Rattus norvegicus: one gene and its partners. The main gene of each other region encodes a partner of the protein of the gene in region 6 in a complex. Links are inferred from orthologs where the notes say so. Each region holds a gene or a part of one and is shown on either strand. Other genes may lie near its edges. The genes, in order: Gtf2b, Taf9, Taf7, Taf13, Taf1d, Tbp and Taf5.

Region 1 (4,109 bases), on a different chromosome or scaffold from region 6:
CTCCAACCAAACCAGAAATTCCCACTTCAACAATGGCATTTGATGGCCATTAACAAATAAAATGCTTACTGAGTTTTCGTCTCAGTGGAAGATGCCCACCTTGTGGTTATTTTGATTCAGATTTTGTCCACTGGGTTTATTTACAAGAGTGTATCGTTATTACCTTAAGGAAAGAGGGTGGGACCTGAGACAGGGTCTCACTCTGCAGGTCAGGCTGGCTTGGGATTCCAGACTGCCCACCTCTGCAACCTAAGTGCTAGAATTACAGGGGTGAACCACAAGACCTGCCTTATTATTTCCAGGTTGGTACGAGTTTAGCTGATTAATGCATCTGGGCCCTAGGACAGTCGTTAGCTGTTTTATCAGTTTTTCTATACTCAGCTTTCAGTCAAATGTCCAATGATGATTGGGGAAAGACAAAAACCTGGGTCATAGCAGGGCCAGACTCTCTGTCTGCCTCACAATATATATGGCTATCACTGGGCTCTCTTGGATCTCTTGCAATTCTAGAAGGGTTTGTGAGGCAGACACCCTCTATTCCCTACACTATTGAGGTAAAGGACATGTAGGAACTTTGAATCATGTTGGTCTATGACAGAGCTTGAATTGATAACCTGTTCCTCAAGACAACAGCTAATTTCTCTTTTTATTACAAATTCCTTAGGGCAAATGAGAGATTCAATCAGACAGGGAAAACTGACTGAAAAATAAAAAAGTGGTTTGGTGTGAGGGCTTTGTCCCTTTCAACCAACCTGGTTTCCTTGTGTGTTGTTTGTTTAAAGGTGTTTGTTTGAAACGTGGTCTGACTCCAGATCCTCCTCCGACCTTCTTACTGCAGGAATACAACAGGAGATCTGAGGCAACTCCCATTTTAATCTGGTCTGTTTGAGAGCTAGCTCTGGTGCAGCTCATCCTGAGACTCTTCTTGCTTTGGCTTTTTGTTTGACTTGTTTGAACTTTCTCTCCTCCCACCACTCCCCCACCCTACCTCCGGCTGTTATGGAGCTCCTAGTGTAGACCGGGCTTCCCCTAAACTCACAGAGATCCTCCAGCCTCTGCCTCCCGAGATTAATGATGCGTGCTATCACGCCAGGCTTTGAAATTTTGCCTATTAATAAGCAGCCGAGAGCCACGCAGCAAAGAAAACCAGGAAGTACACAGCCCGCGTCGTCATGCACCCAACACTTTTTGGCCTTCCTCCCGACCCGTAGCTGCGCGGAGTGCGCGCGAGTGACTCGCACATAAAATCCCGGCTCGGGGCGTCTAAGAGCCAGTGCTGCTTCCTGCTTTGGACGGAGCTGTTGGCGGAGCCTTGAAGATGGCGTCGACCAGCCGGTGAGTGCAACGGCCTCCGAGCGAGTGGAGATGGGGATCGCGGGGCCGAGGCTCCTCCAGAAGGCCGCCACGGGCGTCCCTTGTCCGCCTGAGTCATCGCCCCCCGGGCTTGTCCCTGCGGATCGGCACGGCCCCGACCTCCGTCTCGGTCGGACCCTCCAACCGTCTTTGTGTCATGTTAATGTTTTCTGTGTATTTCCTCCCTTATGGCCCATCCGGTCTGAGGGTCCGAAACCGCCTTTCCAAAAGCTGGGGAAGCGACGTTCCAGGACCCTGTCGATCTGACAGCCACAAAGTTGAGAAACGTCAACATTGGTTGTCTGGTGGAAAGGGTCGCCAGCTCAGTGGCTCCCCCGAGAAGTGGAAATGAAAGCACATACGGAGACTTGATTCATTCTCCTAAAAGATCCCACCCCCGTCCCCACCCCGAAAAGTATCATTGCATACTCCGAAGGAGATGCTGTCTGCAGAAAATTAATTACATATGCTGGAAGTCATTTTAAATGTATTTTTAAAACGCAGTGCACTTAATATCTACAGGAAATGCGTGTTGTGTCCTCAGAGACGGCCTTTAATCTTGTGACCTGCAAAATGCTTTGCAGACCCTAATTATATATCTCTTGTAACCACTATGAGGTACATATTAGTATATTGGCATATGTGTAAACTGAGTCATGCTAGCATGTTGACCTTTCCAGTGCCTAGTATACCTATTTGTGATTATCATTCCACTGGTCTCCAGTTAACACAGAATGTACAGAAAGTATCAAATTAAGTTCTTCACTACTGGCACTTTTTTTCTGAAGTGGTTACTCTGTGTGGAGTTGCTAAACGTCACCACAGGAAGCCATTATTCACCAAAACCTCGGCCCATTCTGGGAACCTCCAAGTCTGCGGTTTATTATAAAAAGTGGGAGGTGGGCATAGGAAGCCGCTTCAACTTCATGTGTGGAAGCCATGGACACTCTTGTTTACTGATTATGGTTTAATTAGATTAATTATGATTTAATCATTCCATCTGGGTGTGGTTTTATCAGGTAAGGCTTCCTTGTAGGGACATGGGAACCTTCAGCTTCCCCAAATACTGTTGAAATTTCCCATGGCTGACGTGGAATCTGAGTGTGTTCCTATGTAGGCATTGCTTGTCTTTCCGTATGGAAAAGGAACTCCTATATTCTTGAAACACAAGTGGTAGTGTTTGAATAGTATACATTGTAAAATCACTGGTTACAATTTTTAAACTTTTCTTCCCTTAAAAATTTCCTTGAAATTTATTTTTTTCTGGACAGCCAGTTTTTGTTTTTGAGTTACTGGTCTAGAATCTTCCTGTCCACCTTGAAAGCTAGGGGATTGCAGATATGCCTGGACCTCATCCAGCTTTTCAATCTGTCATTATTGTTCCTATCATGTTTTTCCACCAGTGTGAGTAGAGAGAAGTCACTGGTAGATTTTTGCCTGAGAGTTTGTCCTTGAGGGTGGTATGTCGTTGGCACTGGCTGGTGTTCATTTTCCAGGAGGACATGTCCCGAGGGACGCCTACTACTTATTCTGACTTCAGTAACTTTGACCACCATCTCTAAAATGAAAATAGTGCCTGTCTTTCAGGATGTGTAGATTGAGCTTCAAAATGTATTTGGGGCTGGGGAGGGGCTCCATGGTTAAGAACAGTGGCTGCTTTTCCAGAGGACTTGGGTTTAATTTCCAGCACCCACATAGCAAGCTCATGAACTCTAACTCCAATTCCAGGGTATCTCTTCTCCTGTCTCTGTAGGCACCAAGTCATATTCATGCTTCACAGACAAACATGCAGACAAAAAGCCATACTAAAATAATGTTCAAGGCAGTATCATTTAAACACACTGCAGAGTTCTTGATGTTTCCCTCTCTTAAATGCTAGGGATTGAAACCAGGACTTGTATATACTAGGCGAGCATTCTCCCACTAAGCTACATCCCCAGCCTCTTTGCCTACTTTGGTTTTTGAGACTGTAGAGTAAGCTGCCCTGCAACTCTTATGTACAGTTAGTTATCGGTGAGCGCCATTCCCAGTCCTTGACCTGCTATTTACTTATCTACTTATCTATTTACCTTTTGAGGCAGCCTCACTCTAGTCTATGTATAGTATAATATATAGTATTTTATATATATATATATATATGTATATATATTATATAGTATTAGGGTGGCCTCGAGTTGATAGAATACCTTAGTTCTGTTCCATCAGAGCTGGCTGGATAGCCTTGTTGGTAGTGCCAGACTATGTTAATCCTTACCATACTGTTAGGTTAACTTCCTGCTTTGTTTATTGCTCTTATTCTGCTAACATTTCCCTTATTTTAGCAGCTTTTTGATTTTTATGTATACTTTCCATAATTTACTTTTTCTCTAACAAATTTACAGAACAACTGCAAGTATAAAGCAGTGTCTGCCCTCTCCCATTTTCCCAATTAGAAAACTCCAGGATATGTTTTAATTAAGCAAATAAGTCTGGTGGTTTACATGTGAATTCTTTTAAAAATCAGCTTCCCATATGACTTGGTTGTTGGTAGTTAGGGAGCTGGAGAGATAGATACCTGTGGGGAAGGGCACTTGTTGCTTTTGCAGAAGACCTGCACACACACAGTAACTGTAATTCCAGGGCATCCCTGGGAACTAACCATTAAGACAGTACAGCACACACATGCAGGGAAAACACACATAAAACAAAAAAATCCTTAAGAATAAGTGAATAAAAAACAATGTAGTTGCTAAAACATTCTGAATCATACTAGCTAG
Region 2 (4,073 bases), on a different chromosome or scaffold from region 6:
AAATACAAAATCAACCATGTAATGTGGACTCAAAAAAGATGTTAAAACCTTTAAGTAAATTTTAAATGATTACAATTGTATCAGATAGTCTATTTGTGGTGGGATGGTATAAGTAAAAAGGTTTTCATATAAACTCCAAAGAATGAAACAGAAAAGCCACATATTTGTGCACTTACCTTCTGTTATAAAGAAAAACTAATCCCATATAAGCATTTTTATGCCTAAATTCTTATTTCATATCACGCTGCAAAGTACAGTGTATTTACAACTTAAGAGAAAGGAAAAAACACAATGAAGTAAGACTCATCAGTCACTTCGGATAAACCGGAAGTGCACTGGTCTATTTTAGAGTTGTAGGTACACACAAGCCCACCCGCTAAAATCTTTCCCACCTAATATAACAAATGCTCTTCCCCTTATAATTTAGGATTAGGGCCTGACGTTTTAAAAGGATACAAAAACGTCTGCTTAAGAAATTATACTTGTCGAAATAAAAGATACTCAACGGTCGGGGCTCTTTGAAAACAAGACTGACAATCATCACCTTGGATAAAAAACCAACTGTCTCTGATGATAAATACCAGGCTCGTGAATTACGCTGGAGATAAACGAGAACTTCAAGACTACCCCTAGCCGATCCACCTCCACCTCATACACTGCGCAGGGGACAGGGACACATCAGTCCTAGGTGTTTGTGCAATCAACAGAGAACGGAGCTGACACATCGCACCATGGCTTCAGGCCAGGGCTCCTCACCTACATCCTACACTAGTCCATATTGGAGGGCGGGTCCGGAGGACAGCCCAGGTAGGCGTAAAGACGAAGCGGGTCTCACGCCTCTAGGACATTAATAAGAAAAGCGGAAGCGTCGTCGTCCTTACTTTCTGGGAGCTGCGTCCCCTCGCGGGCGGAAAGATGTGAAGGAGGCCAGGCTGTAGTGTGGAAGGGTAACCGCCCAGCCCTCCCAGCTCAGCCGCAGGCTTCTAGGGCGGCCCGCCTCCTGGGGACCTTCCTTACTGCGGGCGCTTACGCGACGCACCAGAGGGGAGGGGCCGGCAGGCGAGCGAGTGACGTAGGCGTCCAGCGTACTGCCTGACCCGAAACGCAGGCCAGGCTTGGCGCCGTGCTTTCCCCCCATTCGGTGGAAGTGTACCTCCCGAGGCCGGGGAGTCATTGGTGCGAGCCAAGGGGGTCCTAAGTGAGTGTGAGCACCGCGAAGGGCCTCGAGGGAACCTAGCCGCGGGCGCACGCGCCCGCCCGCCCTTTCCGGCTCCTCCCTGGAGAGCGCGTGAGCCGAAGCGCTGGCTGCGTGTGAAGGAGTACTATGAAGCTTCCGAACATCCTGCTCACCGGTTAGGGCGCGCGGCGGGACTGGGCCAGGCCGGGCCGGGGTTTGTCGAGTGCTGTGAGGTCCCGGGGGGCGCTGGGTGTTCGGCCTCGGGGCTCCTCAGGCCGCGCGGCGTGCGGTGTCGTGGTCGCGTCAGGACCCGGCGCTCGCGACCGTTGGGGGAGGGGGTAGGGGGAGCGGGGGAGGCGGAGGTTCGGTTAGCCAGACGCGCCGCGGCGACGAGAAGGAGAGCGGCTGCCGGCTCCTGCTCCGTTGCCCCGCCGCCCCGGGAGACACTTAGCCTTTGTCAATCTGGTATCTTTGCCTGGAGGACCGGCTGCTGATTCTTTGTCGCGGTCGGGCTAGGGGTTTTTTTAAATCGGGGTGCTGTGAGGCAGTTTTTAGCCGTTAGGTGATGTGGTAATGGTGGGTGCCCCAGCCCTTGGGCCTTCCTGATCGCCACCCATTTTCTTTTCTTTTTTAATGCCCCGTTTGCTTCCCAAGAGGTTTCGGTAGATGATTTTGGGATGCTTGTGGAGAGAAGTGACTAGTTAACTGTTTCTTAGTTCCGTTCGCGCCACAGGCTTTGTTGTTGTTTTAGTGTTGGGGTTTCTGAGCGTTTGTGGACGTTTGTGGTGATCTGGAGCTGATCGTGGGGGCCGGGGGAAGGTTTCGGAGCTTTAATTAGAAATATTAAGTTGTAGCATCTAGTAGCATCAAAGGCCAGTCGTACAAAAATGGGATGGATGTAGATGTCAGGTAATGAATCGTAAGGTTGTTGTCTGCCTCAGCTCTACGCACTAGCTTTTAAGGTTTCTTAGGAGGAACGTTTTACAATACCTGATTTGCATGGTCAGACAGTGTCTTGGGGGGGTTAAGATTCTGAAACCAGAAGGCTACAGAGGGACCCTGGTGATGGAAATCAGTTGATAGAGAACTTATAACTAGTAGGCAGGAAACCCTGGGTTGGATCCCCAGAACTTACATAGACTAGCTGGGGTGGCATATGTCAAAGGCCAGCCCTATGTATGGGGAAAAAAAAAGAGAGAGAGCCATATCATAAGATTGAATAGGATGAGAATGTAGAGTCGTGATTTTTACTTATAATGTTCAAATTGACTTAAGTAATTTTAAGCTTGAACATTATGCATTTGATTATCTTAAAAGGGTATTAGCTATAAAGGCAGAAAAGCAAAGAACAATGTATAGTGCCATTTATACAACAGGGTACCTATGCTGTGGATATATACAATGTGTATGTGCACACATATTTAAATGCATCCCAAGTATCCTGTAGACATACACAAACTCATAGAAAGTTGAGTAAGAAACTGGTTTACAGTAGTTCCCTCTGGGGAAGTTACTAGTGTAAATAGTAGTAATGATATTTCTCATACCTCTTATATTTTTTCCATTGAATGTTTTTAAGCTTTTGTTAATGCAGCAAATGATAATGTATCCCAAGTGCCTGATTTTTTTTTCTTTTTTTTTTTTCTGGAGCTGGGGACGGAACCCAGGGCCTTGCGCTCTACCACTGAGCTAAATCCCCAACCCCCGAAGTGCCTGATTTTATGCTGGGAATTTTATATGTTGGCAGGCAGGATTGGCATCAAAATTTTTGGAGTCCTATCCCTGGAGATTAGGGTCCTGACACTAATACCCAGTAATTTCTGGAGAATTTTTTGGTTGGTTTGGTTTTGAGACAGGGTCCTGCTATGTGCCCCTGGCTGTCCTGAAACCAGCCTAGTCTGGTCTTGAAGTCACAGAGATTGACCCACCTGCCTCCACCCTTAGTGCTGGGATTAAAGGCGTGCACCACCATACCAGGCTTTCTGGGGAATTTTTATTAGTTCATGGTGTATATTCATATATGATTGCTAATTAAGAAAAATTTTATACCGTCTAAGAACTGTAAGGGCAGGGGTTGGGGATTTAGCTCAGTGGTAGAGCGCTTACCTAGGAAGCGCAAGGCCCTGGGTTCGGTCCCCAGCTCCGGAAAAAAAAAAAAAAAAAAAAAAGAACCAAGAACTGTAAGGGCAGAAGACGGCTGACATGTAGTAAGTAGGATTTGAACAGCATTTTTCTGTGGCTTCTCTTACAGGTACACCAGGGGTTGGAAAAACCACACTAGGCAAAGAACTTGCATCAAGATCAGGCCTGAAGTACGTTAATGTGGGAGATCTAGCTCGGGAAGGTAAGCGTCTCTTTGATGTTGTATTTCTGTTTTTAAGTCAGGTATAGTAGAGTGTTAGGACTGTGAAGTGTTGCTAGAGGGTCCTGGCAATGAGTGATTATGTTCTGCTAGGGGCCTGAGAAAGAAAATCACATGTATAATAGATAGTAGTATGACATAGTTATTTTGGACATTTTCCCTTCCCTACCCCAAAATAACTAGCATTATTGAGAATAGTAAAAATTGTGACGGTTTTGTTGGGAGACTGGATAGATAAGCTCTGAATATGAGGAAGAGGGAAAATGCTGTGGGCTCAGCAGACACAAAGGTTTGGGTGATTTTAAATGTATGAGACATTATATTGATCTCTCCAGGATAGACTACCGTGAACTCAAATAGGATATGACTATCATATTACTTTTTAAAAGTCACTTGGACAGTTGCATGCCCAGACTCACTGCATGTAGTCTAAAGTGTTATTTTTTACTTATTTACCCCTTTTTTCCCCTAATCTTTTATTATTTAACTTATTTGTGTCATCCTTTTTATATCCACATTTCAGAGAAGGAATTT
Region 3 (3,969 bases), on a different chromosome or scaffold from region 6:
ATAAGCCAAGTTCTGGATCCAGGAGTGGTGCTGCACACCTTTAATTTGCGCTATACTTTCTGCAGGAGGCCTATATAAGGACATTGGAAGAAGGAAGACTCACACTTCTTCAATTGCTTGCACTTACTTCTTACTTGCCAGCACATCTGTTGGTACCCACTTCTTCAAGATTCCAGTTTATACAGAAGACTGGGTGAAAGAACTAACCTCGTGGGACTGAGAAACTAGATTCTTGAACTTTCCATTCACAGCTGCCCATTGTTGGGTTAGTTGGGCTACAGACTGTAAATCATTACATTAAAATCCCTTAATGTATACAGACATTCCAGAATTTCTGTGACTCTAGAGAACCCTAACAGTACAGACAGTACCAATGGGCAAAACAAAAACAGACCTAATTATCAAATTTCATAGTTTTGAGAAAGTCTCTAATGTACTAACCTTGTTTTTTGGCTTCTGTAGTTCTGTCTCTGGAAAGTGGTTTTTGTAACAGAAACATGCCAATGTAGAACATTTGTTTGTGCTTAAAAGCTCACCCTGAGAAAGCCTTAGGGCCACACTGGGATCCAGAACACCCAATGTAGTCGCTGGCTAGCTAATACTTTATATTGGCTTAAAACTATGTCCAAGCAGCCTTCTTTGGTGGATACCCAACAACAAAATCAGAACGTTTGTGTTTCAGGCAAGGCAATTCTGTTCTTAATGAACCTGTGTCATCATAAAAACATTTGTATACAGTTATATCTATCAAACATATTACCAAAATAGCGTATCATACATATCACACCTCGTCCTCTGGAGCCAAAAATACTAACGAAGCTAAAGGCTTAGTTCCTCTCAAAGCTAATTAACATGATTATACACAGCGTTATGTGGTAGACAGCAAAACTGTATCATTCCACTGTTTTGGCCACTTTACTTTCACTTTGTGATGCTTCCAAAGCTTTTGGCGGAGGGACCGGGTATGCCCTGGGAAGAAAAGATGCTTTCTGCAGGGACGCCCTTTATCTCTGGCAATCACTCTAGAAACTGTCTTAACCCACGACTTCATAAAAGTGCTGTCTTAGGGGGTGTGCTTATGTTTTACTTTTTGGAATCTTCATCTTTGAATTCCAAGCCAAGGTTTTTCCGGAAACACTAGTTTTAATCCTATACAAGGTAAGTTCTCACGAGAAGTAGTCACGAGACGACGTAATTACGAGAATGCGCCTGCGCGCGCCGCGACGTTACTACTTCCGGAAGAGCGGCAGCCAGCCCCTCCGCGTCTACTTCCGGTCTTTGACGTAGCGCCGCGTCTGCTTCCGCTCACTGCCGTAGCACTTTCTTTCCTTCTTTTCTGCGTGGGAGGAGGCTTGGCAAGGTCCTCTCCGGAGTTCGGATGTTTGAGCGGCAGTGTGGCGAGGTTTCGCGCTGCGGGTCCTGAGCCGTTTCGTTGTTAGCGCTCAGGTCGCCTTGCCGGGCGGCTGAAAGCGCGGACAAACTGGAAGGTAGACGCACCGCTCATCGCTGCTTTACTCAGGCCGAGAAAAGCTGAGTTCATAGTTGCTGGTGAACTGTAAGTACCCGAGCCGAAGAGCTCACGACTTTTATTTAAATCTCTTACTGGAGAGAATCCGTGGATTGGGATTGCCTGCCAGACGGACGGACTGTGCCTAAAATCCCCTCAGGCGCTGCTGTTTTCTTTGGCTGTTCACGTGATGCTGCAGCGGCGTCTAGAGGCCCTAATTTGGTATTGCATCTAGTAGAGGTGTGAGTTTAACAGGGACAATGCCAAAGTGGGATGCATGTTTAGAGATTAGTATTGGGACTTAATTATAAATTAAGACAAAATAGGCAGTAGGTGATGATCCACTTAGTTGCTGTTTTCCTTAGAACTCAGTAACTAAGAGTTTAAGATTATTCTTAACCTTGTCCTTTTTTTAACTGTTGTAGGAGCTGGAACTTGTTAGTGCAGCAGGTGTTTATTGGAGAAGTAATTCACAAGGAAGTGAAGATGAGTAAGAGCAAAGATGATGCACCTCATGAGCTAGAGAGCCAGTTTATCTTACGGTTGCCCCCAGAATATGCCGCTACTGTGAGGAGGGCAGTGCAGTCTGGGCACGTCAACCTGAAAGATAGACTGAGCATTGAGTTACACCCTGATGGGCGTCATGGGATTGTCAGAGTGGATAGAGTGCCCCTGGCTGCAAAATTGGTAGATTTGCCGTGTGTTACGGAGAGCTTGAAAACCATTGATAAAAAAACCTTTTACAAGACAGCTGATATCTCTCAGATGCTTGTAGCCACAGTAGATGGTGATCTATACCCTCCTGTGGAGGAGCCAGCTGCTACTGCTGATCCCAAAGCAAACAAGAAAAAAGATAAGGACAAAGAGAAAAAATTTGTTTGGAACCATGGAATTACTCTACCTCTAAAAAATGTCAGAAAGAGAAGGTTCCGGAAGACAGCAAAGAAGAAGTACATTGAATCTCCAGATGTGGAAAAAGAAGTAAAGCGGCTGCTGAGTACAGATGCAGAAGCTGTCAGTACTCGTTGGGAGATAATTGCTGAAGATGAAACAAAGGAGGCAGAAAATCAAGGCCTTGATATCTCCTCTCCTGGAATGTCTGGCCACAGGCAGGGCCATGACTCACTAGAGCATGATGAGCTTCGAGAGATATTCAATGACCTCAGCAGCAGCAGCGAAGATGAAGAAGATGTAAACATCATTGACACTGAAGAGGATCTGGAGAGACAGCTACAGGACAAGCTAAATGAGTCAGATGAACAACACCAAGAAAATGAAGGAACCAATCAGTTGGTTATGGGGATTCAGAAGCAGATTGATAATATGAAAGGCAAGCTTCAAGAAACCCAAGACAGAGCAAAGCGCCAGGAGGATCTCATCATGAAGGTAGAAAACCTGGCTCTGAAGAACAGGTTTCAAGCTGTTCTGGATGAGCTCAAACAGAAGGAAGACCGGGAAAAGGAGCAGCTTAGCTCTTTGCAAGAAGAGCTGGAATCACTTCTGGAGAAGTGAAAAGGTTGACTTTAGTCCTTAGACTAGTCAGCTTAAGAAGAATTTATTTTCAGAGTGAGGTCTTGAAAAATTCTTCTTTTTTCTTTGAAATATTCTTATTTCCTGTAATGCTAGGAGTTATTGTGTTGATTGTTTTCACTCTTAAGAAAATAGGATTACATAGGCAGATTTGTTGTAGTGTAAGGTTAGTGAAGTGACAACACTGAGCTTTTAATCACTTCACCATAGGACTTTATTACAATTTGTTTCCTAAGTTTCTAGTCCTATTCTTCGGTGCTAAGATCAGTAAGAAGCTAGCTAGCCTACAGGCAATGGAGTGTTTTTTTTTTTTTTTTTTGTTTTTTTTTTAAGAAATATATTTTTTTACCTTCTCAGCAAGTTTCCATGTTACAGAAATGCAAGTTTTTTCATAAAAGTTGTTTTTTGCACAATAAAAGTTACTAATTTTCACTTTGCTTATCTTGTTCTTCAATGAATACTGAAAGTTGAGGTGAGCTCATGGAGTTTAATGGCTGAGTGGTATAGATCAAGATACATGCTGTTGTTTTGCCTTTTTAGAAAAGGAATACACCAGATAAGGAAATGGAGAAATTCATCTTTGCATTATAGATTATGGTTCAGGCCTACCTACACCATCTGGAGGTTTGTGAACACTCGGTCCAGAGCCTTCTTAAACTATCCTACTTTTCATTGAAGGATATCTGTCTATATCTTTTTATTAAACACTAAAGTTATCTATAAAATACTGGAAGCAGTTAAACAGTTATCAGATGAACTATTCCACTTGCTTAGATTAAGATTATATTCTTAACTGTTGCCATTTTAATTGCTATGCTTTTTTAATAGGCATGTTTGTTCATGTTATTTCATTAGTATTTGCCACTATGAAAGCCTGTTACCAGGTCTGGTATTTTAAAATTTCATACATAGAATTTTTCTCTGAGGCATTT
Region 4 (3,987 bases), on a different chromosome or scaffold from region 6:
CCTAAGGAGTATGATGGAAGGTTAACGACACTGTTAGTACCCCAGACTTCACTTTCTTGCCCTGATCAGTGCCTTAGTCCAAAGCCTCAACTTACATCGTTTGAAAGGTGGACACAAGAGGAATATAACATCATAGTCATCCCCAGCTACGTAATAAATACAAGACCAATCTAGGGTACATGAGACCCTGCTAAACACAGAAAGGGAAAAACAACAACAAAAACAAAGCAAACAAAAAAACAGAAAGGGGGAGGGGCAGCGGTGCAATGAATGTAGCTCAGTTAGTAGCTGAGTGCTAGCCTAACACACACAACTAGGGTCAATCCTTAGCTAAACAAACTGGGAATCATGACATATGGGCCTATGTGTAGCACGAGGGATACAGACAGGAGAAGTTCAAGGTCATACTCATCTACATACCAAGGTTGAAACCATACTGGGATATAAAAACCCTGCCTCAGCTGGGTGGCTGTGGTTCACAGTGTCAATCCCAGCACTTAGGAGGCAGAGGCAGAGGTGGAGGCATATGTATCTCTCTGTGAGTTCAAAACTAGCCTGATCTGCAGAATGAGCTCTAAGACAGCCAGAGCTACACAGAAAAACCCTGTCTCAAAAACCTCAAAGAGGGCTGGAGAGATGGCTGAGTGGTTAAGAGCACTGACTGCTCTTCCAGGAATCCTGAGTTCAATTTCCAGCAACCACATGGCAGCTCACAACCATCTGTAATGAGATCTGGTGCCCTCTTCTGGTGTGTCTGAAGACAGTTACAGTGTAATTATAATCAATCAATCAATCTTAAAAAAAAACTAAAAGAGGGGTTGGGGATTTAGCTCAGTGGTAGAGCGCTTGCCTACCAAGCGCAAGGCCCTGGGTTCGGTCCCCAGCTCCGAAAAAAAAAAAAAGAAAAGGAAAAAAAAAAAACTAAAAGAAATAAAATAAAAAAAACCCACCTCAAAGTGTATGTGTGGGTGGGGGGGAATCACATTCATTATTTTACGTCACAAAGAGAGAATTAGTATACATGATAAAGAGACTTATACCAACCACAGGAGGCACACCGGCAATCCCAATACTTGAGAGGCTAAGGCAGGAGGACTACCGCCACCCAAAGCTAGCTTGGGCTAAACAGTGAGCACCAATATAGCCAAGCCTATGCAGAGCCTATCTTTAAAAAAAAAGAAAGCAAAAACAAGGGGAGCTAGAAAGATGGCTCAGCAGTTAAGAGCACTAACTGCTCTTCCAGAGGTCCTGAGTTCAATTCCCAGCAACCACATGGTGGCTCACAGCCATCTGTAATGGAATTGATGCCCTCTTCTGGTACTCATATACATAAAATAATTTTTTTTTAAAAAAAAAGCAAAAACAAACAGGAATAAAAACAACCTTACAGGCAAGTCTGAGAACACTGTCCCTCTAAGCAAACATATGCAGAGCAATGTACCTACTCTCCAAGGACATGTTTAAAAGCTCTCACCACCTGTAATAAAAGCATTGGAAAGTACAACTTACGTTCTTTAGAGAAAAGTCTCTTTCTCTTCCCCTGGCCACCTTCTGCTCCTCCTCCAATTTCTTCATTTTCCTCCTCAAACTAGAAATTTAAAAATACAGAAATGTCAAATGATGGCAGTGCACGTGATATTCTCCAGAGTCTCCTCCTGCTCTCTCTTTTGAGTGCTATGAATTGAACCTAGGAGCTCACGATTCTAAACAGTTAATTGACCACTGAGCTACACTCCAGTGCCCTTTTCATCTTTTTTTGAAAGACATTTATTATTTATATGTATTGTGTGTGCCTACATTGACTATGCCTGCAAATGCCCGTAGAGGCCAAAAAAGGGGTCTAACTGCTGTAGGTAGCCAGATGCACTAAAGCAAAATCTCTAGACTTTTTTTTTTTTTTTTTTTTTGAGACAAGGTATGTGCCCGTCTGCCTGGAACTCAGAGATCCTTTTCTGAGTGCTGGGATTCAAAGTGTGCACCACCATGCCCAGTGACCCTTTTGCATTTTCAAAAGTGGTAAGCTAAGGCAAACAGCACAAAGTCATAGAAACTTAGCATCAGAGGGCTCTTATGTCCTATTCCACTTCTCAAGTCGTGCAAGAAGTCTTTTATTACGGCTCCTAACTAACAACCCTACCCGGGGTGTGTGTGTGTGTGAAGTTCAAATGGACGTCAGGTTCTGGGTTTGGTTTTAGCCCATTTAGTTGTCATACTGCTAAGCAATGCTACTACTGTAAAAGACCTGATAGTTTAAAATCTACTCTCTGCTGCCATCAGAAGCAACATTTACTAAGCACCTGTCAATACAGGGCTAAAAACTTTCCTTAACTGGGCTTGACCCTATCTCACGACAAGAAAACCGATGCCTTAAGTTAAATAACTCCAAAGGAGAATCTGGATCTCAAACTTCCTGACTTTAGTTCATCTTTTCTCCACTATTTTCACTAGTTTTGTTAGCAGATGGGCTGCTGGTTCCGCAGTATTTGCTTTGATCTCCTATGACTCTCTAGACTCTCAGTGTCAGGAAGATCCAGATCAAAAGGAGATCCTGTCTACTTTTCCTTCCCTTCCTGCCCCACGCACTGACTAAGGTAAACCGAAGGAAGAGGAAAACACCGCGGAGACCCCGAACTCTCGGCGGGATTCCCTAAGGCTCAGGAGGGTCAGACTCTGCCTCCGCTAGTGAGCCAGAGGGAGTGAGGAAACAGGCTGTGACGGGCGCTCACTCACGGTGGGATCTTCCTCCTCATCTGCCATGCTAGCAGCCCGCCAGCCTTCTGAGCCCGCCCAAGGGCGGCTCGCAAGATTTATAAGATATGTGCGTCACTTCCGGCCTGGCCGGAGTTGCGCAGATGGGTGTGCACTCTCATTCTCCTAACCCCGGCCTTGAGATTGGCTGAAAATCAGTGACGCGTACTTAGGCGTGGAATCCTGAAGAAGGGATTAAAAATTACAAAGATGCCAGGCGTGGTGTACTATACCGAAAAAATTCCGTGCACTTGGCCGAGGCAAGAGAGCTTAGAGTTCGAGACCACTCAAGCTTCATGAGCCCATATCTCAGAAATCATAAATGATAAATTTGTGCATACTAATGGAGACTCCCAAATGCCTGTAATTCCAGCTCCAGGGGAATATGATGAATTTTTGCCTCTGGGGCTGATGCATTCAAGTACACAAGCCCACATAGATATACTTTTTAAAAATATATATATAATCTTTATGTATATGAGTGTTTTGCAGACACGCATGTGTACCATGTGTTCGCAGCGCCAAAGAGGCCAGAAGAGAGCAACTAATTCCCTGAAACTAGAGTTAGATGATTGTGAACCGCTATGTAGGGGCTGGGAATCAAACTCAAGTCTTTGGAAAAGCAGCCAATGCTCTTAGCTGCAGAGCAATCTTTCCTGCCTCCGTAATTTTGTGTGTGTGTGTGTGTGTGTGTGTGTGTGTGTGTGTGTGTGTGTGTGTGTACATTGGGTTTTATGAGGGGGGTGGGTTTGGGTTTGGTTTTTTAATTACAAAAGATGTGCGGGAGAGATGGTACAGTCAGTGAAAGCTCTCACGGAATAAGACTAATATTCAGGTTTAATCCCTGGGCCTATATAAAAAGTGAAAGGTAAGAAGACAGATTCCACAAGGCTGTCCTCTGGCTTCCATACACAGTAATAAGTAAAACATTTTAAAATTATCAAAGAGCTAAGTGTGATGGCACACGTCTTTAATCCCTGCCTGGGGAGGCAGAGGCTGGAAAATCTCTGAGTTCAAGGTCAGCAACAAACAAAACAGCAGAGACATTAAATGCATTAGAAAGCTGGCAGCACAGAAAAGGTAGAAATAGGGCATAAAGGAAAAAATAAAAAGCAAAGGACTATGGACAATGCTAGCAGGGCTATAAACTATGAAGTGTGGATAAATTCAACCCTCTTAACTCAAACTCCAAAACAGAAACCGGGAATAACAAAGCAATGTAATGAGTAGATCAGACAC
Region 5 (4,225 bases), on a different chromosome or scaffold from region 6:
CAGATAGTCAGAGCTGTTCCAGCCAGATGAAGGCAAATATTTACTTTCCAGATTTAAGTGGTGGGAGCAAATGGCTCAGAAACGGGGTAGAGAAAGAGTGAACGAGCAGGAAGGTAAGTGCAGTTCGAGAAACACTGAAGGCCACAGACTAGTCACAGCAACCATGCTGAATGTCACTATAAAGGCCACCCTGTATTCGGAAACTGTCAGGCTCTCTAAGTCTCTCAGAATTCTCAAATCCATGACAGACTTATATTGTATCCTTATTACACAGAAGAGGAAACAACATTTACTCAAGGCGTTCAGTTACTAATTGGCAGAAACAGATTTCAAAAGCAGATTCAAGCCAGGCATGGTGGTGCACAAGTTCAGTTCCAGCACTGGAGGCAGAGGCAGGGGCAGAGGGGTGCAGAGGTAAGAGGTTCTCTGTGAGTTTAAGGCCAGCCTGGCTTATGTATCAGGTTCTTGGACACACAGAAGAGAGACGTGTCAAACAACAGCAGAATGCACTCTATCCCAAGCTGATTCAGCGGTGAAGAAACAGCCCCTCAGCTGACCAAGGGAGAGTTCAGATAGATCCTGCAGCACCTATGATATGAGAACTGACCATGCTTCAGCTTCATTTTCCTCCTACACCGGATGTCTTCTCTCCTCCAAGTATGCCACACACAGTAGGTAGTTTATTAGCTAATTATTAAGTATTTATGATATACCAGGCTTTTATGATATACTAAACTAGCAGGGTTCAAGCACAAAGGCTGGCTCTACAGCTTTGCAAATAGTACAGTCAGCCGCATAGGATCCTATATTCATAAAGATCTAACCACACACACAGGCTTTTGTTTGCTTTTTTGTTTTGTTTTGTTTTTCTCGGTGGTGCCATGCACACTAGGCAAGGTCTCTATAATCCAGTTTTATCTCTAGGCCAACGACTTTACATTAGAAATGCGTTTGTCTGTGAGAACTTATGGGACAGTGAAGTATGAGCATGTACGCCCTCTCATCAGACCTTGTCACCCACTGAATAAGGTGTTTGTAATCTTCCGTTAGAACTTAAGTCCACAGAGTGTCCGTGTTGCAGGATCCTACAGACTGTTGGCAAACTGTACAAGGAACGAAAAGTAGAAGTGAGGCAAGTGAGTACAAAGCTACACTACACAAATACATAGCACAGGCTACCCTTAGTCTGACAGTGAACTCTGCGTGCTCACCACAAGTCGATGCTCACCTGACCCGCAGTGTCTTGGAGGAATGCCTTGCTTGCACTCAGGAGCACAGGTTCACTCTCCTGCTTCTATTTTCTGATAGCTTCAGGCCAAGGGAAGAGCCGGGTACCGCCCCTCCCGGAGGCCCGCCCATCACAGAGTCCGCACGCATAACCACGCCCACGGACGTGCCCTCACGCGAGATTTCATCCTAGTCCTAGTCAGGCTGCTGGGCGCGAGAGCGCTCTTTTCGGCGCGGCGAAAGAGGTAAACGGTTGTTCGTCTGGGGTGCTCCGGTCTACGGCGGCCGACCGGGCGGGGTCGCCGGGACCGCGGGGACCATGGGGGCCGCAGGGCGGGCTCCTTAGGCGGCTGTCCGCCCGGAAACGGCGCTCTCGTAGGCCTAGGAGCAGCGGAGCGGGCCAGGCTCCGGCCTTCCGCAGACCGCGCGAGGCTCGGAGTCGCTGTTGGGAGAGGCCGAGGTGTTCTGGGCCTGGAAGGCGTTTTTAGTGTCTTTAAGCGGTCGTGTGCTGCCTGCCCACATATCTTACGTGCTTAAGTAAGGGTCTTGTCAGCCGGCCCACGGCACAGGTTGGACTCAGCTCACCACGTGGCCTCCAAAGCTTGCAGTCGCGAATTTGAAAGGAGCATTCAGGTAGGAGTGGTTCCTAGATAGGGTTCTACAGTGATTATCTTCGGATCTATCCACAGGTGTATAGTGGGTGCAAAAAGGCCAACCTGAAATTTCAGTTTTGATGGGTTAATTTAAAAAGGCAGTTCATGCAGTGGGTATTTTGCAATCTAAGGACATAATCACCTGTTTTTCTTAGCCTTGAAAACTGTGATTAGTTTAGTTCTAGGATTTGTGTAGCCTAAGTTAACTTTTGAAGTTTTTTTCTCCTTAGCACAAGTGGCCCTCTTACCTACTTCTTACTTTTACACACGTGCATGCAGTGCTCACAGCCCACAAGAGGGATATCGACTCTCTTAGGAATGGTTACAGCTATTTTTAAGCTGCCATGTGGGTGCTGCGAGTCTAATCTTAAGACCATTGAAGAGCTCTTAGTCCATTGGCAGTACTCTTAACTACTAGGCCATCTTTCCAACCCTAATCTAAAGGTTCTTGTACACGCTGTTAGTATCCCAACTACCCGAACTGATGCTTATTTTAGTGTCTAGTGGGCAGCCCAGATTGGAATTAGAAATGCTATATTACTATGTGAGGCTATGTGGTGGTTAAAGCAAAGTGGGCAGATTTTTAGAGAGAAAACAAACTACATTGGAATGTGGTTTGCTTCCACATTCTGTGGAATGTATGCTATGTGTGTGAGTACTCTGGAAGGCAAAGTGCCGTAGCCTCATGGAGCTGGAGTGAACTGCTTACAATCGTAAGCAACCCGTTGTGGGAACTGAAATCTGGAAAAGCAGAGGAGCTCTGCTTAGCTCACTTAAGGGCTTCAAAAGTAGATCTGAAATGTAGGATCCATAGGGATTTTTACAGAAACTGACATAGTGGTAAGGAGTGTGTTGAACTTTCTATTAGAATGCTGTGTATGTGAAGGGGCATCATTGAAATTTGTAATTGCAGAAAACTGGGTAAAGCAAAGTGATGGCTCAATCAGAGGTGGATTCTGTTGACTGTGTGACATCGGATAGAGATGGGGACATTGGAAATCAAAGGTAGGTAAACTATAGATTCAGTCCAAATGTTCAATTTATTTTGAGGAGGGTCTCAATAAATAGAGCCATGGCTGACCTCACCCAGATAATCCTGCCTATCTACCTCCCAAGAGTTGGGATTAAAGGCATGTCACCACACCCTGCAGTCCAGCATATTTGAGTGCTGGGGAGTTTTATTTGTATTGCTTGTCCATAAAACATGGAAAAGCTGAAGATTAACATATTATTAGCTTGACTAATCGTTAAAAAAACTGTCTTGTGGGGCTGGAGAGACGGCTCAGCGGTTAAGAGCACTGACTGCTCTTCCAGAGGTCCTGAGTTCAATTCCCAGCAACCACATGGTGGCTCACAACCATCTGTAATGGGATCTGATGCCCTCTTCTGGTGTGTCTGAAGACAGCTACAGTGTGTTCATATGCATAAAATAAATAAATCTTTTTAAAAAACTGTCTTGTTTTATATAAAATAGTAAGGACACGGTGGTTAACTGGTACTGAGTTCATTCTGAAATGCTGGGTATGATTTTAGGGGATTGTACTTGGAACATGTACTTTTAACATGTTTTTTAGAGTGGATTGCGTGTCTATTCTGGTGCTCTTAGGTGTGGGAGCTGTGAAACTGAAGGGATGCATGATTGTGAGCTGCCTGGGAGAATGGCCTTGCCACTCCTGGGGGATTAATTATATCTAGTGGTAATTCAGTAATGCAATTTAACTTTTGTTTTAGTGATGACTCATCCAATAGCAGCTTATTTAAAACACAGTGTGTTCCTTCACCTACAAGAAAGCAAAGAATCCCTACTGTGAAATGTGTTCCTTCACTTGCAAGTGTTGAAACAGATTCATCAAGTGACTCTTCTCTAGAACCAAGGCCTTTGACTTTAAAGGCTATTTTTGAAAGATTTAAGAAAAAGAAAAGGAAAAAGAGGAAAAAGAGAAAATATAAGCCAAAGTTAAGACGACAAGGAAGACCATCTGGAACGAGGAACATTAGAAGGTCACAAATAGATGCAAAACAAATTAAAGACAAAGGAGCTGTGTTTCCATTCTTAGAATCTGAAAGTGGAAGAAAGACTTTACCTTGGAAGAAAATTTTAACATATGAGGTGAGTGATTTTTTTTTTTAATGTAGGTGAATACATTAAGTAGGATGGAATGGTTTGTTGGTCATTCTTTTTTCTTTTAAAAGATTGATTATATATAAATACACTGTAGCTGTCTTCAGACACCAGAAGGCATAGGATCCCCATTTCAGATGGTTGTGAGCCACCATGTGGTTGCTGGAATTTGAACTCAGGACCTCTGGAAGAGCAGTCAGTGCTCTTAACCACTGAACCGTCT
Region 6 (4,287 bases):
TAAAACCCATGGGCATGTCTATGCGGGTGTTTCAAGAAGGTTTAATAGAAGAGGAAAGACCCAACCAAAATATAAGCAGTACCACCTCATTGCCTGGATTTCCGGACTAAATAAAGAAGCGAACTAATATTTATCTAATTTATGCTTCCGATTTGTGGATGCAGTCCAGGTGTCATGCTCTCCCCTGGATTGTAGCCCCTCAAGCACTAAGCCAAAATAAATCTGCTTCCCATAAATTGTCTCTTGTCAGGCCTTTGTTAAGTTTTCTTAATTCCCCAGTCTTCTGTGGTTTCCTGTACTTCCAAGAGAAAATGTTTCCTTTAGGAGAAAATAGATACACAATACTATTGTACTTATTAGAGTCTATGCATATGGCAACCTATTCAACAGCTATACACAACACACAGATTCTCTTCTCTCTCTCTCTCTCTCTCTCTCTCTCTCTCTCTCTCTCTCTCTTTCTCTTTCTCTCTATCACACACACACACACACACACACACACACACACACACCGGGGGGGGGGGGAGTAAGCACAACAACACATGTATATGCCTAGGTGAACCATGGAAGGAAAAAATTAAGGTATGTTGGAATCAAATCAAGCATTAAGAACCAGTCTAAGAAACAGCTGACGTTTTCTTGTGACAGCAAGGACGAGAGCTGGTAGTAGCAGAGTTAAAATAGAAATGAGTCTGTGACTACAAAGCCGCTTGTTTTGCTGTTCCTCTTTGGACGCAAGTTGACATTTACTGAGAACATAATAAGAAGCGTCTGCTTGCCATTCACGTTATCCATCTCACAAATCTCTAAGAGGCAACTACTACTATCATTCAACTCTACAGAGCAAAGTGGAGGACCCAGTGAGCTTGCCAAGCGATCTCTTGAGTTCAAGACCAGCCTGTTCTACAAGAGTGAGTCCCAAGACAGCCAGAGCGACAAGGAGAAACTCTCAAAAAAACAAAAACAACACGTGGAAGATCGAGGATGTATACAGTTCAGTGGTAGAACGCTTGCTTGAGCCTGATCCCCATAGCCACATCCCCAATACTGTTCCCGCTACACACTCTACATCTCTCTTTGACAGCTAGAAAGGGCGGTCAGAGGCCTGGTCCCGAAAATGCTGGGACACCAACCCAACCCCTTTCTTTCACGAGTGTCTCACAGTTTAAGCACAACAAGCCGGGCTCCAGTCGAGAGCGCAACTGGCGGAAGTGACGGCATCAGATGTGCGTCAGGCGTTCGGTGGGGTCGAGTCCGGTAGCGGTGGCGGGTATCTGCTGGCGGTTTGGCTAGGTTTCTGCGGTCGCGTCATTTTCTCCGCAGTGCCCAGGTAACGGTTCTTTCATCCTTTTCTCTGCTTGGAGGCCTTAACAAAAGCGACTTCTGCAGCGGGTCCCTGGAGTTTGCCGGAGGAGACGCGGAATGGGCGCGCGGCCGGGCGGGGAACGGTCCTCCGCGCGGGCTGCGGCGGCTCCGGGAGTACCAGTCTCTGGACCACCGCCTCGGCGGGGTCATGAAATCCAGTGCCAAGTGTGAGCCTCTCCAAGGGGCTGGCACCGGACAGCTCGGCGCACCGTACATCTCAGCTGCTTCCCCCGGTGGAAGACAGTTTTACCCAGGCCTGCGGCTGCTCGTTTTGTCCCCAGTAAGAATAATTCTATTAGGAAGCGGTTCTTGAGACGGAGCATCTCGTCAGAAGCTCGAGATTCAAGCTCAGTCGAGCTTAACATAAAAACGCACGCTTCTTTATTTACACGCTGTCAGTCTTTAGGTTCGAGTTAACGTGGTTTTCCAAAACTCCGGGTAGGCTTTTCTGGGAAAAGATGCCGGACTGGGTGAAGCAGACGCTTGAAGACTGCAGAATTGGTTTCCCAAATATTCAGTTTGATGGCTCAGTTTCCAAAAGTTGAAAACAACCTAAAAATAAGTTTGTGCAGCGATTATTGCGGTTTTAAGATGCAGATGAGAAAAGGTAGTTTAATATCGTCTGCAGGTGTGAGATGACCTCAGCGAAGGATACTACACATTCCCCAGTCTTATATAAGCGAGCGTTCAGTAAACTTTGTTTGCAGAAAGTGATCTGGATAAATCTCTGGTTATACTTTGGACATTAAATCCAGCCTTTTTTTTTTTCCCCAACCAAAACAGTGATCTCTGAAATTGAATTTTCAGTCTTCAGTTTTCTCAGATTTATCCGCTCTTGGACCAAGAAGATATTCAAACTGCACCTTAACATCCTTTAACTGTTCCCATTGTCTGTGTAGTGACATCTTATACCCTGAATTATGCAACCCTATCTACAGCTAGCTGCTTTGTCATCTTTTGTAGTGACTTTACATTCTAAGCCTGTCACATACTACATGCAAGGCTTTGTCCCCCTTTCATGTCTGTGACTTGTACTGCGATAGTGCTGATTTGTGTGGTTTTGTTCCTCTTGCTAGACCTGTGTTAGATTGTCCCTGCTTTGTGAGAGCTCAGACCTCTGGAAAGGGTACTTCAATTCCGTCTTAACTTTTAAAAGATTTACATATATGACTGTTTTGCTTATATGTCTTTATGTGTATCACGTGCATGCCCGGGCCCATAGAAGACAAAAGAGAGCTTTGGATTCCCTGGGACTGGATTTATAGCTAGTTGTAAGTAGCTATGTGGGTACTAGGAATCAAAACTAGTCCTTCTGAAGAGCAGCAGTGCTCTTGACTGCAGAACATTCTGCCACCTCTTGACTCTAATCTGTACTCTTCCATAACATTCATTCACGGTCACAAATGCCGAGACCAGTCATAGGTAGGTGCAGGTGTCTTGAAGACACTAATGTTGGTTTCAGCTTTCCAATAGCTTGCCTTACTTCGTAAACGCCTGCAGTTTTAGTGTTTGCTAAGTATTTATAGTTGTCTCCGTATTGTTTTATACCGAACTGTTTGATAAGGACCGTATCCTCTTTATCTTTGTATCTGGAATGTTGATTCGTTCACTTCTTATGGCATCTCTGAGCAAGCCATTGGTCTATATGAACTGAGCTGATTTTTAAAAATAAAGTATCTTTAAGGAATTGAGGATGGGCGTTTGCCTGCCATTTAGGAGGCTCTGGATTCTATCACTACTGCCTTTACAAAGGAAAAGAGAGCACATTTCATAGTCTCCTAATCCATATTCATATTTCACATCCATGACCACTAAAGAGCTGATGATTTAAGAAACTCAGTTCCAGGCGTGGTTTGAATTAATGTGATCTAATGAGCTAATGTTTCATCTGTTGTTTAGTCTGCCTTTAATTAAAATTAGAACACACAAAAAATGATTACCTAAAGCATATTGTGTCCAGTTCAATATGATACTTTAAGCTTGAGGTATTGGGAATGGTATAAAACCAGAATTGACTTAATAGAGCTGTACAAACAGTGCCTAGTAAGTGTTCTTTTCTTACAGTACAGTTTGCTTACGAATTAGTTTTCCCTCGGCCTTTAGTTTGCCGAGGCCTTTGCTGGGGGTGGGGCATGAGGGTGAAGGTGGTACAAAGGGCTGGTCCCTGATGCTGGTTCTTAAAAGAGATGGCTCAGAGGTTACAAGCACTGCCTACTCCTCCAGAGAACCAGGTTGGAGCCATCTCTCACACCCTACAATTTGATCTTAATCTAAACATTTATTGTCTAAGTTCACAAAGAACACACAGGTTTCAAAGTTACAAATTGTATATCCAAAGACCCATGTTTATTTTAATATGATGCCATGGTGGCTCAGTTCCAGGGCATCTGACTCTCTCTTCTGGCCTCTGCAGACACCAAGGCATGAAAGTGATATACAGGCATACACGTAGGCAAAATACCCACACATATAAAATCAATTACCTTTATGTGAGGAATCAGCTTGTGAGAGCCTGTTCTCTCCTTTCACCATTTGGTTAAACTCAGATTATTAGGATCTGAGGATCTAGGCAGCACATGCCTTTACCTACTGAACCACTTCTTACCAACCCGTTCTCCAATAATTTTTACTATTGATCTCGATACCTTAATTTTCAGTACTATTAGAATATTTAGAATATTTAAGCACACAGCCACATAAGTTTTTGGTTTTGTTGGTGGTTTTACATGAGTCACAGGAAACATAGACTAGGCTTTGGGAGTAAAGGATACATATATTCGTGTGTGTGTGTGTGTGTGTGTGTGTGTGTGTGTGTATTTACACATTTACACACACACTCCAAAACAGTTCTATGTGTTTATTTTGTGTGAGCATGAAACCTGTGTCCATTAAACTTAAAACATATTTTTCCAAGCAGCATCA
Region 7 (4,139 bases), about 190 Mb from region 6:
GCGGGAATCACTGTACTTGAAGTCATTAACCTCAGCTAAAGCACAACCTAGACACTGGAATTTTGAGACCTGCATAGAGAGGACAAAGGTGGCCATACTTCCCTGAGTCAGACGCCCTCTTCTGATCTCCTCTCAATTAAGGGCTGCTATTGTATCAGCATCGCAACACTTGCCTAGTATTCAAGAGGTAGGGCGAGGTTCACCATCAGTATTGCCCCCCAAACAACAACAAAATGGTAACAATGGGTAATTAATCCACAGTAGAGACATTTCAGTCACAAAAATTTATATGCAAAAAACTTTTTAGCTGGATCCCTACACTTGGAAGGTGAAGGCAGGAGGACCAGAAATTCAAGGTTGCCTTAACTACCAGCAGGTTCGAGGCCAGCCTGGGTGCACAAGACCCTGCATAAAAACGATCTTTTCTTTAAAAAGGAAAAACATATTGTTAAAGACAGAAATGTTTCATTTGGTAACAAGGAATGAAAAGAAATTAACTTTTTTCTCTTCAAATTTATAATTGATTTTGTTGATTTTGTTCTTGTTGGAGACAAGGTCTCCCTGTGTGGCCCTGATTATCTAGAACTTGCTGAGGCCACCCTATGACTATCTGTGACTTAAATTTATTTTTAAAAACTACATCCAGGGGGTTGGGGATTTAGCTCAGTGGTAGAGCGCTTGCCTAGGAAGCGCAAGGCCCTGGGTCCGGTCCCCAGCTCCGGAAAACAAACAAACAAACAAACAAACAAAAAACAAAAAACAAAAAAACCAAAAAACCTACATCCAGTTTAAAGGCTTTTTTTTTTTTATTACAACATATAAAGTTCACAAAAACTTGTATTTTTACAGGAATAAAAACGGGAAAAAAAAGTAACCATGGCTCAGCTCACAGTATTACAGAGAGAGCCTTACCGGTAACTAGGAGGTCTCTGATAAATCAGATGTGCTTTTGGATTAAATGCCTTGGGCGTGAATCTTTTTCTTCGTGTGTGATTTTAGCATGGTATTAACCTCTTTGGGTTCCGGTAAGCCATCCGTAAAAACTCCAGGGATTAGCACCTCTAAAATTGAATTAAAAGAGCTCGTATAATTTAAAACGGCTACCTCAATCCCCGAGTGTAGCCTGCCTGCAATAAACGATAATTATCAGGCAAATGCAAGAGACGGTAACCAACTCCCACTTCCTGCCTCCCTGCCTTTCACTCAGTTTTGAAAGTAGCTCTTTCTCACTCCTTTTCTCCTCGTTAGCTCCTCCTCCTGCCGTAAATGGCCTGCTCCAGCTGTCGTGAAACGCCCTACCCCGCCCTCCATGTGGCGAAAACGCAGTCACGCTTGACGGCGCGAGGTGGCTCAGCCGCAAGATGGCGGCGCTGGCGGAGGAGCAGACGGAGGTGGCGGTCAAGCTAGAGTCTGAGGGACCGCCAACGCTGCTACCTCCGCAGGCTGGCGACGGCGCAGGCGAGGGTAGCGGTGGCACTCCTAACAACGGCCCCAACGGCGGCGGCGGGAATGTGGCGGCGGCGGCCGGTGGGGACGGCGGGACCCCCAAACCAGTGGTGGCTGTTTCTGCCGCTGCCCCGGCGGGGGCGGCCCCGGTGCCCGCCGCTCCCGCGGAGGCCGGCGCTCCTCACGACCGACAGACTCTTCTGGCTGTGCTGCAGTTCCTACGGCAGAGCAACCTCCGCGAGGCCGAAGAGGCACTGCGCCGTGAGGCCCGGCTGCTGGAGGAGGCGGTGGCGGGCTCCGGAGCTCCGGGAGAGTTGGACGGGGCTGGCGCGGAGGCGGCTAGTGCGCTTCTCAGCCGGGTCACCGCTTCAGTTCCCGGCTCTGCGGCCCCCGACACTCCGGGAGCCGGCGCTTCGGTGACCTCAGTGTTCTCAGGTTCAGCCTCAGGTCCTGCGGCTCCGGGAAAGGGTGAGTCTCGGGGTACCGGGTGAGCAGTGCCGGCTTGAAGGGGAGCTAGCGGGGAAGGCAAGGGCTGGCAGGCCTGCACCTCTGCGGGCTTGTTTTGAATTTCCTGGGCCCGCCTCTAGGGCCACATGCCCGCCCCTTTCTCTACTGCGCCGGCTGCGCAGTCAAACCCTCTTCTGAGCTGTCAGTTCCAGCCAGAGGCTGAGCAGAGATGTGGAGCGGAGGGAGGGAGGAAGGGAGGTGCCGGGCCCGGGGATTGACAGAAGAGGGGAACCTTAAGGTTTCGGTGTTTCTACTCTTACTTGGATTTAGGATTAGGTTCGCGTGAACACGAGTATCGTACTGTTCTGTTCCCATACTACTATTGTACTGCAAGTACTTTTCTGTGTCTTGATTTTTTTCTCTCTCACAATTGTATAGTTCTCATCTCTCCTTTTGAGAGGAGAAAATGGACTTTTTGAGCAAAGCCGAAAGGCTTGCTTTGGACCACACATCCAGAGTGGTGGTAGTCAGTGTTTCTTAGATTGTGGACTGAGAACCACCGGTGTTAAGTATTTTAGAGGATGCAAACATCTCAGCATCACCTCTGGCTTAAACTGTAGGGGGAGAGTCTGGGAATCTGCCATAGAGCTTCTAAGGAGTGCTTTTGAAAACTCTTAATTTTACAGGTAGGAGTGGCAGACCTTTTTGTCTCTGTTGCTTTTCCGTGTGTGATGTCAGTTAAAGGCATTTTTTTCTAGTTTTTTTTTTTTTAACTAAGAAGTTATTATGAGTTTAAGATGTAATGTGTAATGTGCCTAGTACTGAAAGTTTAGTTCCTGAATCCAGTTACTGACAACTCCTGTTTCTCCCAGAAACAGTTGTCACAAATCCAGATAGTAAAACACACATTTCAGAGGAAGACACCTGCTGCTATGCCTGACCACCTGATTGGGTCCTCAAAACCCATACGGTGGAAGAAGAGACCCAGCTACCTGAAAGTTGTCTTTACTATACACCAAACTTCAACTTTTCAAAGATATACTTAGTTGAAGTTCTCAAACGAGATCAGTAAATATTGAGTTAAATTATCCAGGTTAGTGGTTCTAGACATGTTAACCTGTTTCAGTGAGAGCATTGCCAGAAAGGAAGCTTGAACACACAGCACTGTGATTGATAAATAGAAATGTGTCATGTGTATAATGGCAGCACTTGGGATGCTGAGGCAGGAGAATTACTGTGAGATCAAAGCTATCCTCAGCTAAATATAGTTATGGGGGAAGGGAGGGATAAGTAAAAATATGTGGAGAATGTGACTGAGAAGGAAGATCTTTTCTGTATGCCAAATTTTGTGACTATATTCTAACAACTTATATTATTTTTCTAATATCTCTCATCTGTCAAGAAACTTGACTTTTTTTTTAGATCATACTCAAGAAACCAAGGAGAAAAAGAGACCATGAGAATGACTACAAAATTATATCTTTAATTATAATTTTTTCAGTAAAGAGTGTGTGTAATCACTTTTTAAAAAACATAAAAGCATATAATACTATAACCGTAGTTTGCCAAAATTTTCAACATCCAAACTCTAATTTGATTTTTAAAAAGCATTATTTTTTTTTGTATCGCTGTATTACGAACAAATACTCAGGCTTTCTACCTTGCAATGATTGGTTATAGAAATTACTTCACATATACACAGTTGAGTTGTAGTCTTTTACATTCCAGAGCCATAACAAATGCTCCCCTTTTTCCTTGAAATGCTGATGTTTTATATGAGGTGATGTTTGAATGTGAGGGTATCACAGGATTGATATTACAGGATGTACAAGGTACTTGAGTGTGATATGTGTCATTTGCACTGAGCCTTGAGAGGAGATTAACATAGCTGTTAGCTTTGCACATCCATTTGTTTATTTATTTGGTGCTCTTGGTAGTTCAGCCCAGGGCCTTGTGCATGTTAGACAGGTCTTAGCTACCTAACACGTTCTCAATCCTTATGACACAGTTCTAGGAAAAATGTTGACTATTCTTGTTATTGATTTAAACATGTAAGCTACAATCAAACTGAAGAGCTTCTGGCTTGGTTAATCAAAAACACCCTGAATGCTATTAAAATGGCTTGTGACTGTGAGCTGGCAGGTAAAGGTATTTGCCACCGAGCCTGACAAACTAAGATCGGTCTCCGGAATCTCCATTATGGAAGGAGAGAATTGTCTACTGAATTTGTCCTCTGATCTCCATGT

The links.
Region 1: Tbp (region 6) and Gtf2b share a complex: the UniProt entries of both Homo sapiens proteins name them as parts of the TFIID-containing RNA polymerase II pre-initiation complex. The link is inferred for Rattus norvegicus from reciprocal best matches to the Homo sapiens genes TBP and GTF2B.
Region 2: Tbp (region 6) and Taf9 share a complex: the UniProt entries of both Homo sapiens proteins name them as parts of the TFIID basal transcription factor complex. The link is inferred for Rattus norvegicus from reciprocal best matches to the Homo sapiens genes TBP and TAF9.
Region 3: Tbp (region 6) and Taf7 share a complex: the UniProt entries of both Homo sapiens proteins name them as parts of the TFIID-containing RNA polymerase II pre-initiation complex. The link is inferred for Rattus norvegicus from reciprocal best matches to the Homo sapiens genes TBP and TAF7.
Region 4: Tbp (region 6) and Taf13 share a complex: the UniProt entries of both Homo sapiens proteins name them as parts of the TFIID basal transcription factor complex. The link is inferred for Rattus norvegicus from reciprocal best matches to the Homo sapiens genes TBP and TAF13.
Region 5: Tbp (region 6) and Taf1d share a complex: the UniProt entries of both Homo sapiens proteins name them as parts of the transcription factor SL1/TIF-IB complex. The link is inferred for Rattus norvegicus from reciprocal best matches to the Homo sapiens genes TBP and TAF1D.
Region 7: Tbp (region 6) and Taf5 share a complex: the UniProt entries of both Homo sapiens proteins name them as parts of the TFIID basal transcription factor complex. The link is inferred for Rattus norvegicus from reciprocal best matches to the Homo sapiens genes TBP and TAF5.

What each region holds. Positions count from the first base shown.
Region 1 is NC_086020.1:234,426,425-234,430,533, forward strand, and holds the start of Gtf2b (transcription initiation factor IIB), read left to right. Parts: upstream 1-1,309; 5' UTR 1,310-1,318; coding exon 1,319-1,335; intron 1,336-4,109. UniProt on the Homo sapiens protein: General transcription factor that plays a role in transcription initiation by RNA polymerase II (Pol II). Involved in the pre-initiation complex (PIC) formation and Pol II recruitment at promoter DNA.
Region 2 is NC_086020.1:33,527,115-33,531,187, forward strand, and holds the start of Taf9 (transcription initiation factor TFIID subunit 9), read left to right. Parts: upstream 1-1,273; 5' UTR 1,274-1,324; coding exon of another isoform or gene 1,325-1,352; exon of another isoform or gene 1,353-1,500; intron 1,501-1,528; exon of another isoform or gene 1,529-2,086; intron 2,087-3,428; coding exon of another isoform or gene 3,429-3,521; intron 3,522-4,073. Other genes in the region: Ak6 (adenylate kinase isoenzyme 6), read left to right, coding at 1,325-1,352, 3,429-3,521. UniProt on the Homo sapiens protein: The TFIID basal transcription factor complex plays a major role in the initiation of RNA polymerase II (Pol II)-dependent transcription.
Region 3 is NC_086036.1:29,710,676-29,714,644, reverse strand, and holds Taf7 (transcription initiation factor TFIID subunit 7), read left to right. Parts: upstream 1-1,320; 5' UTR 1,321-1,555; intron 1,556-1,932; 5' UTR 1,933-1,993; coding exon 1,994-3,019; 3' UTR 3,020-3,469; downstream 3,470-3,969. UniProt on the Homo sapiens protein: The TFIID basal transcription factor complex plays a major role in the initiation of RNA polymerase II (Pol II)-dependent transcription.
Region 4 is NC_086020.1:198,892,145-198,896,131, reverse strand, and holds the start of Taf13 (transcription initiation factor TFIID subunit 13), read right to left. Parts: upstream 2,801-3,987; 5' UTR 2,758-2,800; coding exon 2,731-2,757; intron 1,589-2,730; coding exon 1,510-1,588; intron 1-1,509. UniProt on the Homo sapiens protein: The TFIID basal transcription factor complex plays a major role in the initiation of RNA polymerase II (Pol II)-dependent transcription.
Region 5 is NC_086026.1:20,426,551-20,430,775, forward strand, and holds the start of Taf1d (TATA box-binding protein-associated factor RNA polymerase I subunit D), read left to right. Parts: upstream 1-1,425; 5' UTR 1,426-1,472; exon of another isoform or gene 1,473-1,860; intron 1,861-2,793; 5' UTR 2,794-2,814; coding exon 2,815-2,885; intron 2,886-3,611; coding exon 3,612-3,990; intron 3,991-4,225. UniProt on the Homo sapiens protein: Component of the transcription factor SL1/TIF-IB complex, which is involved in the assembly of the PIC (preinitiation complex) during RNA polymerase I-dependent transcription.
Region 6 is NC_086019.1:65,135,221-65,139,507, forward strand, and holds the start of Tbp (TATA-box-binding protein), read left to right. Parts: upstream 1-1,487; 5' UTR 1,488-1,645; intron 1,646-4,282; 5' UTR 4,283-4,287. UniProt on the Homo sapiens protein: The TFIID basal transcription factor complex plays a major role in the initiation of RNA polymerase II (Pol II)-dependent transcription.
Region 7 is NC_086019.1:255,898,435-255,902,573, forward strand, and holds the start of Taf5 (transcription initiation factor TFIID subunit 5), read left to right. Parts: upstream 1-1,339; 5' UTR 1,340-1,361; coding exon 1,362-1,914; intron 1,915-4,139. UniProt on the Homo sapiens protein: The TFIID basal transcription factor complex plays a major role in the initiation of RNA polymerase II (Pol II)-dependent transcription.